Linked DNA regions of Zea mays. The protein of the gene in region 1 binds, or shares a complex with, the protein of each later gene. Links are inferred from orthologs where the notes say so. Each region holds a gene or a part of one and is shown on either strand. Other genes may lie near its edges.

Evidence for each region.
Region 2: photosynthetic NDH subunit of lumenal location 1, chloroplastic (region 1) and NAD(P)H-quinone oxidoreductase subunit T, chloroplastic share a complex: the UniProt entries of both Arabidopsis thaliana proteins name them as parts of the chloroplast NDH complex. The link is inferred for Zea mays from reciprocal best matches to the Arabidopsis thaliana genes PnsL1 and NdhT.
Region 3: photosynthetic NDH subunit of lumenal location 1, chloroplastic (region 1) and Photosynthetic NDH subunit of subcomplex B 5, chloroplastic-like share a complex: the UniProt entries of both Arabidopsis thaliana proteins name them as parts of the chloroplast NDH complex. The link is inferred for Zea mays from reciprocal best matches to the Arabidopsis thaliana genes PnsL1 and PnsB5.
Region 4: photosynthetic NDH subunit of lumenal location 1, chloroplastic (region 1) and oxygen evolving enhancer protein 3 containing protein share a complex: the UniProt entries of both Arabidopsis thaliana proteins name them as parts of the chloroplast NDH complex. The link is inferred for Zea mays from reciprocal best matches to the Arabidopsis thaliana genes PnsL1 and PnsL3.
Region 5: photosynthetic NDH subunit of lumenal location 1, chloroplastic (region 1) and Photosynthetic NDH subunit of lumenal location 4, chloroplastic share a complex: the UniProt entries of both Arabidopsis thaliana proteins name them as parts of the chloroplast NDH complex. The link is inferred for Zea mays from reciprocal best matches to the Arabidopsis thaliana genes PnsL1 and PnsL4.

Annotation. Positions count from the first base shown.
Region 1 is NC_050096.1:42,029,667-42,033,507, forward strand, and holds photosynthetic NDH subunit of lumenal location 1, chloroplastic, read left to right. Parts: upstream 1-1,228; 5' UTR 1,229-1,412; coding exon 1,413-1,454; intron 1,455-1,533; coding exon 1,534-1,654; intron 1,655-1,750; coding exon 1,751-1,837; intron 1,838-1,960; coding exon 1,961-2,034; intron 2,035-2,122; coding exon 2,123-2,245; intron 2,246-2,438; coding exon 2,439-2,510; intron 2,511-2,647; coding exon 2,648-2,744; intron 2,745-2,844; coding exon 2,845-2,954; 3' UTR 2,955-3,251; downstream 3,252-3,841. Other genes in the region: ABC transporter B family member 20, read right to left, coding at 3,414-3,841. UniProt on the Arabidopsis thaliana protein: NDH shuttles electrons from NAD(P)H:plastoquinone, via FMN and iron-sulfur (Fe-S) centers, to quinones in the photosynthetic chain and possibly in a chloroplast respiratory chain.
Region 2 is NC_050099.1:14,035,981-14,039,041, forward strand, and holds NAD(P)H-quinone oxidoreductase subunit T, chloroplastic, read left to right. Parts: upstream 1-1,202; 5' UTR 1,203-1,313; coding exon 1,314-1,654; intron 1,655-1,810; coding exon 1,811-2,231; 3' UTR 2,232-2,461; downstream 2,462-3,061. Other genes in the region: Pyruvate kinase 1, cytosolic, read right to left, coding at 2,643-2,798, 2,888-2,944, 3,056-3,061. UniProt on the Arabidopsis thaliana protein: NDH shuttles electrons from NAD(P)H:plastoquinone, via FMN and iron-sulfur (Fe-S) centers, to quinones in the photosynthetic chain and possibly in a chloroplast respiratory chain.
Region 3 is NC_050098.1:158,250,009-158,253,673, reverse strand, and holds Photosynthetic NDH subunit of subcomplex B 5, chloroplastic-like, read left to right. Parts: upstream 1-1,585; 5' UTR 1,586-1,628; coding exon 1,629-1,898; intron 1,899-2,115; coding exon 2,116-2,170; intron 2,171-2,330; coding exon 2,331-2,399; intron 2,400-2,489; coding exon 2,490-2,548; intron 2,549-2,764; coding exon 2,765-3,001; 3' UTR 3,002-3,155; downstream 3,156-3,665. Other genes in the region: putative transmembrane protein kinase family protein, read right to left, coding at 3,619-3,665. UniProt on the Arabidopsis thaliana protein: NDH shuttles electrons from NAD(P)H:plastoquinone, via FMN and iron-sulfur (Fe-S) centers, to quinones in the photosynthetic chain and possibly in a chloroplast respiratory chain.
Region 4 is NC_050102.1:1,245,636-1,248,587, forward strand, and holds oxygen evolving enhancer protein 3 containing protein, read left to right. Parts: upstream 1-1,398; 5' UTR 1,399-1,495; coding exon 1,496-1,802; intron 1,803-1,889; coding exon 1,890-2,278; 3' UTR 2,279-2,386; downstream 2,387-2,952. Other genes in the region: vegetative cell wall protein gp1, read right to left, coding at 564-1,166; kinesin-related protein11, read right to left, coding at 2,733-2,894. UniProt on the Arabidopsis thaliana protein: NDH shuttles electrons from NAD(P)H:plastoquinone, via FMN and iron-sulfur (Fe-S) centers, to quinones in the photosynthetic chain and possibly in a chloroplast respiratory chain.
Region 5 is NC_050100.1:216,381,309-216,384,829, reverse strand, and holds Photosynthetic NDH subunit of lumenal location 4, chloroplastic, read right to left. Parts: upstream 2,270-3,521; 5' UTR 2,251-2,269; coding exon 1,861-2,250; intron 1,665-1,860; coding exon 1,572-1,664; intron 1,470-1,571; coding exon 1,409-1,469; intron 1,302-1,408; coding exon 1,233-1,301; intron 1,111-1,232; coding exon 1,043-1,110; 3' UTR 998-1,042; intron 920-997; exon of another isoform or gene 878-919; 3' UTR 603-877; downstream 1-602. UniProt on the Arabidopsis thaliana protein: NDH shuttles electrons from NAD(P)H:plastoquinone, via FMN and iron-sulfur (Fe-S) centers, to quinones in the photosynthetic chain and possibly in a chloroplast respiratory chain.

The DNA.
Region 1 (3,841 bases):
GGGACGAGGCCAGGAACCAGGCGAGGATGCTGCTCGCGGACCTCCAGGCAAGGAACGCCCGGATGAAGGCGGCGGTTCCCGGAGCATCGTGCTCCAGAGTCGCGCGGCCTGACGCGTTCGCCGCCACCGGCTACGAGCACATCCAGGCCCAGGCCCAGGCCCAGGCCCAGGCACTCGCTCCTGCCGCGTTCGGGCCGCGGGGGCAGCGTGCCCGTGCGGGAACTGGCTACTACTGCGTTGCGTCGTCCAGCGGCTTCGGCCACAGGAGCATCGACTCGTCTCTGGACACCTGCGCCGTTCAGCCGTCGCTGCTTGGCTTCGCTTCCTCGAGCTCGAGCCAGGAGCATTTCGACCCTGACATGTTCTTGGTGGACGTCGCAGAATCGCCGCAGGATGTCGTTCCGGTTCCGGCCACCGCAGACTCAAGCCAGGGGAGAAGCTCCGGCTCCGGCTCCGGCACTTATGGTCATAGTTTGGCGAGCAAAAGGCCTTGCAGTGAAAGGAAGTAATAAATCATCAGCTCAAGCTGCAGCACGTCCTGCCACGGGCCATGGCCATGCTGCCTAAATCCTAGGCCGGTGCCATGTTAGTGCTTGCTCGGTAAAACTTATAAGATTATTGATGTGTTGTGGATTTGAATGGCGCCTAGTGTCTTTTACTGTGTTTGGTTTAAGGTCAACATGGGATGAGGCGCCCCTCGATTTTTTAGCATCACGCCGCCACCAAAAACTACTCTGGTGTTTACCTCGTTCGTACGTGACTCTCATTCAAACACTATTGAAACTATTTAATTAACTATCAATTAACTAAGGAAAAATCAACCAATTAGTTAAGAAAGGAAACTAACAAACAACTATCAATTAGTTAAAAAAGGGAACTAATTGATCAACTATCAATTAGCTAAGAAAAAACTAATAAATCAACTAAGGAAAAAAACAAATAAACCTAGCTGCATTATGCAACAGGCTTACTAGCATTGAATAATTGTGGCCGTTGTTGTATATCGCTTATCATGGTGTCATGAAATTATGTAACCTGGAAATTTTGTTTTTTTGGCATAAAAATCACTGTATTCAGAACAGTTCGTCTTGGGTCATCAACGACCTACCCACCAGAAGGGCTGTTTGCCTGTTGAGAGGGACGCCCATTTTTGTCAGCCAGTGCTCTGTCCAAGACAAAGAAGCAAGAGTGCTGAAATGAGAGGATAATGAGCATGCTGACTTGGCTGCCTTGGCTTCCACCCACACACTCGATAGGGGAAAAGCGAGCCCTTCCACGGTTCCACCACCCACTCGATAGTGGAAAAGTGAGCTCGAGCGTGTCCAGCAGCTATGGATAACTGACGATGGGGGTAACAAGCTTCACAGAACTCTCCCTCGAGCTCAGCGCTACCCTGAACAACTGAAGCCGAAATGGCGAGCCTGCAGAACCTGGTCTGCTCCGTATCCAAACAAGTACGTGCTCAAGCCCCTTCCTCACTGTTTTTTTCTGGAATTCATTTACTTTCCCTGCAGTTCTGAGGAGTAATAACAGCTTGAACCCGTTGCTTGTTTCCAGCTGGCTGTGCCAAATTGCGCGGCGACTACCAAACTGAACAGGGCTCCTCCCTCAGCTGTGGCGGCGAGCTCGATCCAAGGATCTTTGGACGACACCAGTAACCCCCCCTTTTGTTGTTGTTGTTGTTTTTTTTCCGTTCATGCATCTAGTGGTCGACAGAATCCTGGTTCATAACATCTCTCCGCTTGTATAGAGGTCACGAAGAGACGGCTAGCTTTGCTTGGTGCTGGAGCGTTAGCCACTGGCCTACTGAGGACAAGCTCTGCTGCGTTCGCTGAAGGTAACGATCATCCCTATATAGATGGCCTGGCATTGTATCTATCAGGATCGGACTAGGACGGTGTCCTCGAGCAGCGTTTTTTTTGCGTTTCTTACCTGTTTGACACTGATCGGAGCTGTTCAGAGGTGCCGAAGAATTACAAGTCGTACGTGGACGCGAAAGACGGGTACTCGTACCTTTATCCAGCTGAATGGAGGGTAGGTTGGCGCCATGCGATCGATTCTTGAACAGTTAAGAACTGTAGGGTGATTTTCATGGTGCCTTCGTTCCCTTGTCCCTGGATAGGATTTCGACTTCTTGGGTCATGATTCTGCGTTCAAAGACCGCAACCTGGCCCTTCAGTGTGTTCGTGTGGGGTTCATTCCTACCGAGAAAACAGACATCCGCGACCTAGGACCGATGGATGAGGTGGGGGTTTTGTTTCCTTCTTTCGACTATGTATTCTTCTTCTTTTTTATGGAAAAACTATGTGTTCTTCACTTTGATTAGGCACAAAAGATAAAACACATACTCTCTCCTCCGTTTAAATTATATACGTTTTAGCTCTGATAATCACTTTTGCTGATGTGATGAATATGTTTTTTTTTCCACATTACACCAGGCCATCTTCAACCTGGTAAACAACGTCTACGCTGCCCCGAACCAAATACCGTCGATCTACGACATGCAAGAGGTCTGTCATCTGTTCATCGCTTTATGCATGCAATTATCATTTGTTTGGAGTTGCCAAATCTAGTTGGATAACTCTGAGCAAAAAAATAAAAAAAATGGTGCTAGTGAAATAAGCGGCCTATCCTACTATTTTTGCAGCGCACCGTGGACGGCAAGAACTACTGGACGTTTGAGTACGATCTGGAGGCTCCGGGCTACGGCGTTTCTGCGTTTGCGACGGTCGCCATTGGAAACGGTATGATACCTATGAACGGGAAACGTTCATGTGTTTCGCTTCGCGTTGAAATAGAGAGAGATGAAACTCTGTTTGTTTGTTTGTTTTTTGCTCTAACTAGGTCGGTACTACACGCTGATCGTGACCGCGAACGAGCGCCGGTGGAGCAGGCTGCGGAACAGGCTCAAAGTCGTCGCGGACTCCTTCAAGATCTCGGACCTGACGGCGTGATCGCTTGCTTCTGTGACGGCCTCATGAGCATGGTGCGGCAACTTGTTTAGCGAAAGATGGGGGGGGGGGGGGGGGGGGGGGGGGGGGGAATGTGGTTGCATTGCTGTCGGTTCGTGGCTCCCAAAATTACACGCTCCGTGAACATGTCGGTGCAACACTAATATTACAGAGGCGAGAGACACCACAAGCACGAGCCTCTGAAAGAATGTTTCAGCTCATATATTACAACAATTACAATGCCCTCCAAACTTGCTAACTATTTCCAGAATTACTTGGATCTGCAAGCTATTTTTTTTATTTTTTTGTCAAGAAGACCAGGTCGGCTTACTCGGAACAGCAACAGGGCGGCAACTCCCAGCATTTTTCATGTGCCGAAAAGGGCCCCTGACTGAGTGGCCGCACAAGGAAACCTGATCATCCCCTAGGATAATTTACACCTAAACAAACTCAAAAGAATAATTACATTAGCCGATGCTGGCGAAGGCCCTTGCCAAAATGGGGTTGCATCAATCTAACATATAGACCGTTCTGGTCCATCAGAGAGTCATGTGTGCCCTGCTCAACTATCCTACCGCCATTCAAGACGACGATGTTATCAACATGCTTCATCATTGCCGCCCTGTGCGCAATGAGAATCGTTGTCTTGTTACCCATGACCAGAGTGTCTAGAGCTTCTTGCACCACTCTACTCGATTCAGACTCGATCGCAGAGCTGGCCTCGTCCAACAGCAATATAGGTGCGTTCTTCAAAACCACCCTAGCGATGGCAATCCGTTGCTTCTGTCCAGGTGTCAGATCAACCCCTCTCATTCCCACATGGGTGTCGTATCCATGTGGCAAGCTGCTGATGAAATGATGGGCATTTGCTATCCTTGCAGCTTCCTTCA
Region 2 (3,061 bases), on another chromosome or scaffold:
CGTCCTCGTCGGTCAACCCCAATCCAGGAACCTCCCCTCTTGGCCACGTCTGTATGTCTAGTGTCGTCATATGCCATGCCATGTGACCACTCCGGGCCCAGATGCGCCATGCGCCATATACCCGAACCCCCTAGCCCACACACGCCCGTGAAACCGCGAGGGTCGGCTCTGATACCACTTGTAACACCCCGTCCAATCCCTGGACCGGCGGTACTTACTCCTGGCAGCTCTCTAGGATCATATATTGTCCCCACATACCAACACAAGTCTTTTGTGCGCACTTTGTCCTCACTCATGCGCACCCGAGAAAACTTCCCGGTCGGTCACCCATCCCAAATTGCTCCAAGCCAAGCACGCTTAACTTGGAGGTTCTTTCAAGATATGCTTCCGAAAAAGAATATGCACCTTGTTGGTATGATTACACTATTAATTCTATTAAGCCTTGGGCCAGGACATCCCATCCCAGGGGCCAGGATATCACAATTTGTTCGGTTATTTTCAATCTATAGATTGGAAGAGATTGATACGTATTGAGAGAGATTTTGACTTACTAAGGATTGAAACCCTTTAATCACCTTCAATTTATATGGATTGGCATAGAAGGGAAGACCCCTCTCCCTCCCTTTCAACTACACTAGTTACCAATGGCACAAATCTCGTAGCATCTGCAGTGGCTACCAATGGCACAAATCATGTCTTGTATCGGGCGACAAAACCGCTAGTCACAAGAGTGCTGAGGCCAAAGCTGAGAGACTGGAGACGGCAGTAACGAAGATCCAAGCATTGTTGCCGTTTCAAGAAGACCTCTCCCTGATGATACCGTGGAACGCAAACCTGATGCGCGTTATCATGGGAGGCGACACCCAAAATCCTGAATTACAAAAACATTATTAATTTAATCACAGTTAAAAATTACAACAAGGGGATGTAGCTCAAATGGTAGAGCGCTCGCTTTGCATGCGAGAGGTACGGGGTTCGATCCCCCGCATCTCCAAACTGTTTTTTACCCCCCTTGTTTTATTTTTTTTACCTCTTCTCCCTCATTGTCACTTGGTCAGTACTCAGTACTACTCAGGATAACTGTGCGGACGAATTCGATTGCGTACCGTCTAAACTGACAGCGCAAGTGTTCGTGCGGCGGGAAAATTTCTGCAGTTTCATTTCTCGTTCGGAATATGGTTACCGTTCCTTTTTCTTTTTGTACATGTGGCCATTGGCTAAGTGAACAGCGACACCTCATCGCCTCGCCCTCCTACCACGACAACTGGAACGTGCGAGCCTCATCACCTCCCGACTCCCCTCCACGCCTTGGAATGCTGCCTGCGCAGACGCTAACACACACGTTTCCCATGGCAGCGTCCACGGCCTCGCGCATCTTCACGCCCTTCCTCCACCGGCACCAGCGGCGCACGAAGGCAGTCGTGGTCGCAGCCGCGAGCCCGCCCGACGCCGAACCGACTCCTGCGACGGCGGACGGTGCAGGGCCGGGGAAGAAGAAGACGGTGGACACCAGGATACACTGGTCCAACCCCGACGAAGGGTGGGTAGGAGGCAAGGCCAAGAAGGAAGGCGACGGCCGCGGCAGCAGCAAGAACGAGCCGTTGGGAGGGAGGTTCGCGGACCTCATCAACAACGCGGCCGAGTCTCACTACCAGTTGAGTTCATCTCCAATCCATGCTCATATGTCCTTTTGGATTGCCGTCCAGCTGTACATAAATTTGTAGAGCTCTGTTCGAGACACTGTCATCATCATGTCAATACTTTGTTACTAACGGCGACACATGACTGAACTGCAAAATCTATCACCCAGGTTCCTTGGCATAGCGCCAGAGGCGGACATCGAGGAGATCAAGACGGCGTACCGGCGGCTGTCCAAGGAGTACCACCCGGACACGACGACGCTGCCGCTCAAGGTGGCGTCGCAGAAGTTCATCCGCCTGCGAGAGGTGTACAACGTGCTGAGCAAGGAGGAGACACGGCGGTTCTACGACTGGACACTGGCGCAGGAGGCCGAGAGCCGCCGCCTGCAGCAGCTCAGGTCCAGGCTCGAGGACCCATACGAGCAGGACATCATCAACTACAAACCCGTGCCAGACATGGTTGACCGCCTCGGCGGCAAGAACATGAAGCTTAGCGATCAGGCCATGACTGCGCTCACCATCGATATCGTTATCATCATCATCTCCATCTGCTGCATCATCTATGCTGTTTTCTTCAAGGAGCAGTACTGACAGCAGCATACCAGCAACAGCAGCAAGGTTGCAGGAGTGTACCATAGACAGAACATTATAGGTAAATTAACTGATAATGCCCTAAGATTGTCTTTTGGGATGTTATCATGCACTGCATCATGTAATGTCCAATAGAATAAGGTAGGAACGACGATTATTCATGGTTTGTTGCCAACAATCCTATATTTGCATAATCAAATCATAATTCCAGTATAAATCTGTGACATCATAATTTATTGCGTCAAATCAAAAGACAATCTGAAAAGAGGGCAAAATTCCCTAACAAGATATCTTGTGCTCTTGCTGTACTCTACTTGGAACTTGGTTAAATAAGTGAGATGGAACTGGAGGTAATCTCCCATGCGATACATGAAACTACAGCATGGGTTGTAGGTATCAATCATCTAATGCCTAACCTTCACACTCAATGATCTTGACAACAGAAGAATCACCAATCTTTTCAAAGATTATCAACCTGTCGAAAGGCTTCACTATGCCAACCGACCGACCATAGCTCATCGCAAGTTTTATCCCATACTCTTCCTTTGTTAGCCCACCAGTTTCGGCCTATTACAGAGTTTTAAGCATTCATGGTTAGCCATATGTTTTTTTACATGTAACTCTAATGTTAGGGAAAAATACAATTGCTTACATACCTCATCAGTACTCCCCATCAAAGGGTACACGCCTCTCACTGCGAAACATTGTCTTGCCTGAAAGTGGTTTAATAATGGTTACACATTCGAGTTTGCTGGTCCTGCTTCACGACAACCAGAAAACTAAGGAAGCATGAAACTCAGCAGAATCATAGACATACAAGTTACCTGTGT
Region 3 (3,665 bases), on another chromosome or scaffold:
TTTTTGAACTAACAGGCGACAAATAAAATACAGAGATAGTATTATTAATATTTGTTATATTTGTGCATTTTTCCTTATTGAGTATGGGTACTCATCGGATAAAAAATACCCACACGAGTACGTGTATGAGTGTGAAATTGTATCCGTGCACAAGTAGGGGTATTAGAGTGGCGAGTTTTTAGTTTGACGGAACCGAGTCTGGGGTAGCAAAACCCGGCAGGTCTTTATCTGTTACCATTTCTAATCGAGAGGCTTGGTAGTGTTAGGCTGTCTCCAACAAGGGGCGCTAAAGCGTTCGGTATGCTATATTTAGCGTTTCTCGGTGTCCGCTATCGCTCCAGCAAGAACCGGCAAATGGTCCGCTAAAATATAGCGGCAGCTCGACGACCGGTAAATGTGGAGTGTTGTTGTTCATCCGCTATCCATCCGCACAGAGTTGTTGTCTGGTTCTTCTCGTCTTCGCCAACAGCATGCCACAGCACGACAGCTCTGCTACTCCACCCGTTGAGTACCACGACAGCTCTGCTACGTTCGGTATGAGAGATTATGCACGAAATCATCTCTGTATTTTCAGTGCAGCAACGTGATTTCATTTTATTTGTGTCTTGTTGCTTTATTTTCACCTTCCAGACTGAAGTTGAGTCACATTGACTCTCCGCCAACTGGTAAGGACAGAGGCAGGGCTTCGAGGCGTTCACGAGTAGAGTACTGGTGATGTCAGAGCTTTACTCATCGTTCGATTACAGTAAAAAAAAATGCATGGGCAGTTTATTGATGCAGTGATGCTAGCCTTTTTTTCTCTTACTATGAAGATGGGGGACTATGTTGTCTTGATACCAAAAGAACTGGGAGCAATTGCATTTTTTTTGTATAATACTAATTTAAGAAACTGGTTTGTTGATTACTAGGCTTAAGGATCTGATCTGTAACAATGTCATGTGCGGGTCTTCTTGTGACATCGCAATCTCGAGGGCACCCCAAGGCCGCCAAATGTTCTAGTGTCCATTGATGCTTGGTAAGAATTCAGTTAGAGCTTTACATGCAAATTAGTACTGTATATTTATTTGTAAACATAGCACCATTGTACTACTAATTAACTGTGTATATCTAAACCCTAAACCCTAGGTTGATGAAGACGTTCTAGCAACCAACCATAGGTCGCTATAAAAAAATCGTTGTGTAGTGTATGAGAGAATTTAGAAAGAACCACTCCATATACATGGAAAAATTTAAAGGACAGGGTTACAGATAATCCTACAAAGAGTGAGTTCTCACTTGTTTTGTTGGTGTCCGTTGACCAAAGCACATGCGACAGTTTCTTACAAATATAGCGCACAGAATCACGATTTTTTTTGGCGGGGGGAGGGGTTACTGTGGGACGTCCGTAGGTGTTCAGTTCCACAGAATCGTACCGAGTTTTTATGAGCTGATTATTTCCAGAAACGAAAAAAGGGACAGGAAAAGACAGCGGAAAAATCCTGGACGGTAGGTGTCCAACTCCAGCGCACCATTATCCGCTTGCTTTTTTGTCTCTTGGCCGCAACGTGAAGTGCAGCAGCAGCCAGCAGCGGGGGCTGGAGCACTCACCAGTCACCACTCAGCAGCGATCGCAGCACCGCGGCGAGATAATGAGCAGCCTGTCCTCCGGCATCTCTGCCTCGCCATCTGCAGCGCCCAGCACCGCTCGGCGCCGCCATGACGCAGCGCCGCAGCAGCTGAGGGTGAAGGCGGCGGCGCGGCCACAGCTGCTGCACGCCGGCCGCCGGCGTTCGAGTGTCGGGAGGAGGCCGGGCGGCGGCGCGGTGGTGGTGAGGGCCGGGCCTGGGCCGCTGTCGGAGATCGAGCCGGACCTGGAGGAGGACGCCATCGACGTGTACCGCACCAACGGCATCAGCCCGGTCCGTCGTCGTCGTCCCTCGTTTCCTTCCTTTTCTTCTCTTCTCTTCTCGGTTGTCGTTCCGCGCTTAGTTAGTTAGACTAGGAACACGCAGGAAAGCAGTGAACCTTGACGTAGGTTGTGCTATGAACGAGAGCTCTGAAGAACGGAGTACGTTTCGTTCGTTCGTTCGTGGATGACACTGGAGAGGATCTGTCTTGTCTTGTCTTGTCTTGCAGGAGGACTTCGAGTACGGGAAGTATGACGGACACCACACCTATTTCGAAGGCCAAGGTATTACTATCCTCCCAGAAAAAAATAAGAACTCCATTGTTCATGATATGATATCCTTCATTGCAAAAAGAAAAAGAAATAATAGTCCACTGATTGTTTTGTGCTGTGGTGAAACAAAAACCTGCAAACAACCGCAACACCCCCCGCTTTTCTTCCCAAGACAAGAAGGGCTTCTGGGAGGATGTCTCCGAGTGGTACCAAGAAGCTGAGCCTCCTCAGGGCTTTCAAGGTACTACCACTACTGTGTAGCTCTTTCAGATCTTTATGCTTCTGCCTTGCTCATTTGTTGCACTGCATCAATGGCGGCGATCTCTTGCAGCACTCATCTCCTGGGCATTTCCTCCTGCGATCATCCTCGGCATGGCTTTCAATGTGCCGGTAAGGATCCAGCACTTCCTCCTCCCAGTACCTAGTCCCCTGTTTGGAACACGAAGTTTCCTGGTCGGAAGTGAATTGTGCTTTCTGTCGGGAAAGTGAATTGTTTCCTGTGAAATTCCTGCGCTCCAAGCATTTGTGCCCCAAAAAAAAAAAAAAAAAAAACTCGTCACCTGCATCTACTGATCGGATCGGAGACGCGTCTGCTTGTGTCGCCAGGGGGAGTACCTGTACATCGGGGCGGCCGTCTTCATCGTGGTGTTCTGCGTCATCGAGATGGGCAAGCCCGACAAGCCGCACAACTTCGAGCCGGAGATCTACATGATGGAGAGGTCGGCCCGCGACAAGCTCATCGCCGACTACAACTCCATGGACATCTGGGACTTCAACGAGAAGTACGGCGAGCTCTGGGACTTCACCGTCAACACCAGGGACGACATCGTCAAGTCGACCTAGATGCATTGCGTACACCGCTCGCTGCCCTTCAGATTGTTGCCTCACAGCAAAAAAAACCCTGTGAAAGGAAGCTGTAGCTGCTAGGAAAATCTCTTGAATAAAAAGGAAAGCCATCCTTCCTGTAAGACTGGAGAGCCTGAAAATCTGTTCTATCCTCGTGCCATATAATACACGACATGTTCTGCAGACTGTTGCTTCAACTTTCTGCATGAATTGCCTTTGTTTTCATGTTTTCTCCAATACTTTGAAGGGAAGAGAAAAAAAAACACATGCAAGACTGATGCGCTGAACAATCAAGAGCCGCTGGTTTGCCACCACCCACCCATTCTTATTATTATTCAACAAAAGGAAAATGTCATTAATTCCCCTAAAAACATGTGCAGAAAAGGGAGAATTAGGAAGGAACCATCAGGGTAACAAAACTGGGGAGAAAAAAAGGGTAAGCCTCGCAGCTGTTTCCTCTCTTTTTTTTTTACACTTGGGATGCAGCTGGCTCGCTATGAAGACGGGCTCTTCTTTTTTTTCCCGAATTCCGAAAGAGAACAAGGCTGGTCTACTGCCCTGAGGAGGAGAGAACTAGCTTTTCTTCTAGACTACACATCCCACTGATGTTTGTTTCACCTGGATGTTCTGAAGAGCTGACTGCCTAGAGTCACGGTTGGGG
Region 4 (2,952 bases), on another chromosome or scaffold:
AGCCTTAATGCAATTGTATTCACGTTTAGAGAGAAGCACCGCTGTCTTGTGCTCGGCTCGATAGATGCAGAGTGGAGGGTAGATCTGTGGAGCCGCTGCAGGAGCTGGGGAATCTCTCTCCAACGGCCCAAGGTGGTCAACAGCAAGTCCATGGTCAATTCATGTTAATCCAGCCGACATGCAGAGGTGAAAGGGCAGTGATTCCTAGTACTGCTACACACTGAATTTCGCCGCGAAACGCTAGAGAATTCTTAGGAAAGAATGCAGATTCTGCACAGTACAACAAACTGTAAAGAGAACAGCAGAGATTAGGTTTTTTTGTTTTATTTTTTAATTTTTGACAAGAGAAACGCGCGCGCGCGCAGGCTGATTCTGTGGGATCCTGACGGCGGCGACACTGAAGAATTCAACAAAATTGCACCTGAATTAGAGATGGATTAATTATAGGATAAACTGAAGAAACAGTACATCAGCAGACGGCGGCGGCTAAACTCCTCTACCAAATCCACAGCTATTGCCCTGCTCTGAGACTGAAGCAGTCGGCATCTACGACTACGATTGAGTCAAGACGCCGTTGGGCTGGGCGCCTCTGGGGCGGGCGGCGGCGCATCAGGCGACGGCAACGCAGGTGGTGGAGGTGACGGCAGCAGCTGGTCCGGCGGCGGTGGCGACGCGATCTCCGCCAGCGGCGGCGGTGGTGACGGGAATGCCGGCGGGGGCAGCTGCTGCTCGGGAGGTGGGAGCACGGGCACCGGCGGCGGCGGTGACTGGAATGCCGGCGCGGGCAGCTGCTGCTCGGGAGGTTGGAGCACGGGCACCGGCGGCGGCGGCGGCGACAGAGGGGTGTCGGGCACAGCCGTCGGCCGTGAGGGCGGCGGCGGCCAGGCGGCGGCGTCCGGGGAGGGAAAGGCGGGATCTTGCGCGGGCGTGGGCGTGGGCGGCGGGCGGGCGGCCGTGGCGGGCGAGCGGTATGCGGGGTCCGTGTCGGGCAGGACGGGCTGGCACGCGTCGGCGGCGGCGCACGCGGACGATGCGGAGGCGGGGCTGGACTTGGCGGCGCGGTGGAGGACGGCGCGGAAGGCGAGGACGACGCCGACGACGGCGAGGGCGGCCAGGAGGGCGAGGAAGATCTTGGTGGCCTTGCCCACGTAGCAGCCGCCCCGCATGGCTGGCGGCTCTGGCTGCTCGTCCTGTGTGCCTGTGTCTCGTGGCCTTCCTTGGTTTGGTGGTGGTTGATGGCTGGTGGGGCGGTGGTGGCTGAGGGAGTGAGTGAGTACTCAGTAGTGGAGGAGTGATCCAGATTTGAATCGTACCAAAAATTACAGGCCAGGCCAAATTCATCTTCAACTGCAAACCTCATCAGGAACGGAAGGATGTCGGAACGGCCAGCAGCCGCTTTCTTCCTTTTACTTTTTTCTGATATTTCTATCGGCTACGATCTCATGCGTTAGCGAGTGCCGCCCCGCCCGCGCTATCCACTCGTCTCTCCGTCCCCATGGCCACTTATCTCAACGCACCGCCGGCAGCCACCACGACGACTGCAAGCTGCCGCCATGCCTTCTCCGGTGGCAGCCTCCGTCTACTCCGGCCGAGCCGACCGACGCTGCACGTGACGTGCCAAGCCGCCGCCTCCTCCCAGCAGCCGTCGTCCCCGTCCAGGAGGTCAGCCTGCCTCCTCGGCATCGCGTGCGCCGTCCTGCTCCGCCCACGTGCCGCCTCCGCCGCCGAAACCGACGACGAGCCGGCCAACAACGGCTGGTGGCTGACCGAGTTCCCCTTGCCCGTGCCCAAGATCGTCAACAGTAAGCCGTCCCGTCCGTCCTGCTCCATCCACCACTTAACTTTACTTGGTTCACTGACAATTGTGTCGGCGATGAGTGGCATGGCAGAGGAGATCAACAACGCGGAGACGGGCACGCGCTCCTTCCTCAAGAACGGCATCTACATGGCGGACATCGGGCCCAGCTTCGCGGCGCACGCGTACCGGCTGCGCAGCACGGCCTTCGACCTGCTGGCGCTGGAGGACCTGCTGGGCAAGGACGCCTCCAACTACGTCAACAAGTACCTCCGCCTCAAGTCCACCTTCATGTACTACGACTTCGACAAGCTCATCTCCGCCGCCGAAGACAAGCCGCCCTTCGTCGACCTCGCCAACCGCCTCTTCGACAGCTTCGAGACGCTCCAGGAGGCCGTCACAGCCAAGGACGACGCCAGGATCGGCGACCGCTACGCCGAGACAAAGCTCATCCTCCAGGAGCTCATGGCCAAGATGGCCTAGCAGAACCACAATTTTTCATTCATATATCATGATGTGTAAATGAATACTTGAAACTCACAAGGGGTATTGCAGAATTCCCAGAGCAGGGAAATACAATTATCATGTCAGGCTGTGTGCGTGTCCGACAACGGGTACACAGTTGTTTACATACACGCCCAGCTCAGCTCAGAGGCATTGGGCATTGGGCAAACGACAAATCAAGACTACGAATGAAAGCAAAAAAATTGAAAATGGCAACACATCCCAACATACAAATCAGATCAGGTCCTAAGATTAATATAATAGGCCAGCACACCCACCGCTGCCAGCCGTTAGCGCAATCAACAAGGCCACAAACCAAATAAAATTGGCAACTCACACCACCTCCAGACAAGGGGATGCAAATGATCGGTTGCATCACCAAATCAACACACACACAAGCATTACACTGGCAGCTCGCTTCCGCCGTATTTCATCATTGTGAGCTCCGCATCTGGGTTTGGCGCCTGGGGATCCCGATCTCACAGGAGTTCACCCTTGCAGCAAACCGCAATGAGCAAAGAGACTCCCCTGTCGAGGACGCTTCAGGAGACAGATTCACAAACATCAGTGTCTTCGAGTCCCCTCCGAGACACGGCTGTGTTGCCAAAAGCATCAGTTAGTACTTGATACCATTTAAGATTAAACTTTTAGCC
Region 5 (3,521 bases), on another chromosome or scaffold:
TGTCAAACGGTTTATGAAATGGCTTCGGCTCTACTAAAAATGCTGTTTTTATTTTTTAGAAAAAAACCCATTATTTTTAGGCAAGCCAGAGCTCTATCAAACAGGCCCGAGGAAACAGCTCTCGGCGCTCCCAGGAACCACCAATGACATAGAGCCAAAGAGGTGAGGTCAAATTGCACTGGAACTTTTTTTAGTACCTATAACCCAAGCCCAACCATCCCAGTGATGTGACAGTGATACTCTCTCACAAGCAAAATAGTTTCCCGATCCCGATGTGGCGCTCCAACGGCTAATGCGGCTTGGTCCTATCTTACGCTTTCGCTTCTGCAAATCTACGTCTTCACAACCCATGGAAATGGTGCCAGTGGTTTAGCTTCGCCTTTGTTGCTTCAGCAGCCTCCCCAATTCAGGCAGACAGCAGAGGCGGGCACCGTCTGAACCGGTCGATGAGAATTTTTGCTCCAAGCTACTACGGGCACACATGTGTCAGGCACGAGCGCGAGACCTCTCTGCACATCCGAATCGTGAGTGTTTAGTCGGCATGATTGATCGAATGCTGAAGGGTTTGACGCCATTCGCCAGTCACGCTGACAGTCTGACTGACACAAACAAATTCACGATTCCGTATCGGCTGTGCAAGCAAAGCTGGTGGCGCATGTGACATACACCTCCGATAACTTGCTCGCTTTGGCTGTATCAAACTGCTATATAGTCAACAATATGATTGGTCTTTACAAAGTTCCACAATGGCGTTATTACGTAACAAGGATGGTTTATATATATCATCATTTTATTCAATCCAGGTAGCTCTCTGGAGTACAGAAGCTTCTGCAAGTGGCTCTGCCTCTGCAGGTGCTTTCACCGCCAAGAATTCCTCCTGAAACCCTCCATGTGTGACACACGAAAACGATCGGTTACTCTGGAAAGAAGGACGTGAGTCACAGAAAACCAGGCGAGTTCAGAATAACGCTGTGCACGGCACACATATCAGACAGACCTTGTCTCTGCTCTTAGGTTCTGAACATTCCCTGTCATCGAGGGCTCACTTGTAGATCCCGACGAGGAAAAGGTCATATAGAAGTGTGGAGTTTCCGGGGATGTTGCAGTCTCCTGTCAAAAAAAGAAAAACAAAAGAAAAAACTAGAGAAGCAGTCTCCTTGACAATTCTAGAGCGAGAGCAGTTTGCTTATCTATGGTGTACGAAGTCATTTAGCGCAGTTCTGAAAATCGACCTGAGAAGCAGCCTGCCGGTTCAGGCCCGTACGCCAGTGACGCAGGTATCATCAGCTTGCGCTTTCCACCTGAGGCAGGTTTGCAACGGAGTCATCAGTCATGGAACAGCAAGCCAAATTAGCAAAGCCTCTATATTTAATGCACAGCTAAAAACTGCTCAAGTTCCTGTCCGTACCAACAAGCATGGGCGGCACACCGCCGCCGCCACTGATCCCCTGTTCAAGCCCTCGGAGGATCTGCACGCGGAGAACGCGAAAGAAACAGACCATCATTTTTTACTGGCATGAAAACTGAACGTCGTTTTCAGTGAGCGACAATGGATGCTTATACATGCACACCTTGCCTGCGCCTATGCGCATCGTCAGTGGCCTCCCGCGCTTGTAGCTGCTGTCGAACAGCGTACCGTCGGGAAATCTCGCGGTGTAGTGCACCTGATGACCATCGAGAGGACGAATATAATTAGGATCCGAAGCAAGCAGCACACAGAACGCAGAACAGGATGGCGGCATATGTTGCTGAGTTACTCGTGCAGAAGGGAAATGGACCACTGTACTATTACAGAGTAGGTTAAGTCAGAGGAAGGCGCAAGGCATGCAGGAAAGAAGAGACGGTGGTCTCGGTACTGACATTGATGAGCTCGCCGCGCGGGGGCTGGACGCCGGTGCCGACCTCGACGTCGCAGTACGCGAGGCCGGACTTGACGAGGCTCAGGTCGCACATCTTGTCCCCGACCGTCGCGTAGTACTCGATGCGCGTGGCGCCGGCGTCGCCCGCCGGGGACAGCAGCGCGGCCGAGGCCAGGAACCCGGCGCCCAGCGCCAGCAGCCCCCTCCTGCCCGCCGACGCCGACGCCGCCACCGGATGAGGAGTCGAGGAAGTGGACGGCGACGAGGACGACGCGGAGCCGCAGGGCGCGACGGAGAGCGCTCTGCCGCTGGTCTTCGGGAGCGGCGGCGGCGGCGTCGGGATTGGGCTGGACGCCATCAGAGACGACAGGGACGTGATGGGTGGCGCCATGGCTGCTTGTGGAGTGTGGATTATTATCCCCAGACTGTGGCTGCAAGGCGCGCAGGCTCGGGTCTTTATAATGACGCCCCGAAATTCGTCGCGCGGAGGCAGCATGGGCTCTGGATGTTTCAGCCGGCCACTGCAGCAGCAGGCCCGTGGTTTTACCGGGCCGAGCCGCAAGTTTCGGGACAGTCTACAGCCCACGTAGTTTTCTTATTTTAATCATTTTCTAAATCAATTTCTAAAAATTAACATCAGAGTAATTTTGTTTCTAAAACCAACCCGTATGACCGTGTAAATCTCCCTGCCGCGGACAAATACGCTGATATGCGACCCCGTTTGACGTGGCAGGTCGTGATCGATGACATGGCAAGTGTTGTCTGTTTTGATTGGATACATTTCAATGCACTTCAACCCCCTCTTCCAAGAGTATCTAAACTAGGCCTAAAATGCTTGATGGTCAAAGGTTTTCTCTCAATAAAACGGGATTAGTTTACACCATAAGAATATCGAGGTGACCTTTATAAGTCGCAAAACTACTTTTGTGAAGGATAATGATGGGTTCCGGTCAAAATGCAAGCAAGTTATGTACTAATGCAAGCAAGTTATGTACTTATAGCAGTACTGCAAGAACAAGAATAAAGGTACACCTTCTATTAAATTTGATTCTTATTATTTACTTGCAAAGTATACTATGGTATAAAGACAAAATTTATTAGAATATCTCTAATAGCTTATCCATCTTCATCTCCGTATTCAAATTTCACTCCACAGATAGTGCAATCTACTGTGCATAACAGTGTTTTGGATAACCATGTGAGTAACTGCTAGACACGATCTTAGTGCATCTATTATTGTTCCAAAGAGGAAGATAATATGGATTGCCAAAAGTCTAGTAACTATTTAGAAGAACAAACAAGTTTGGGTATTAAAAAACTTTTTTTAGATAAATTATAAGGCTCAAGAAAGATATTTAGGATTTGACAGTGGATACACACACTCGTCACCATCCTATAATTTACGTCGCTAGCTGCGGCCACCAGCATCTTTTTTTTTTCCTCACGTTTTGATGATATAACGACACAACGCAATACAAAAAGTGAACCACTTTGCCTAATGCCAACCAAAAGTACAATATAGGACCTGGTTAAGATAACAGCTGATGGGAAAAATCTACACCAATTTTTTTGGGGGTGCAGCTTTCAGCTGTCAGGTGCAATCATCTTTTAATCTCGGCACCGTAGAAGTGAAAATTTCGGAGTACCTTCTCTCCCATGTTT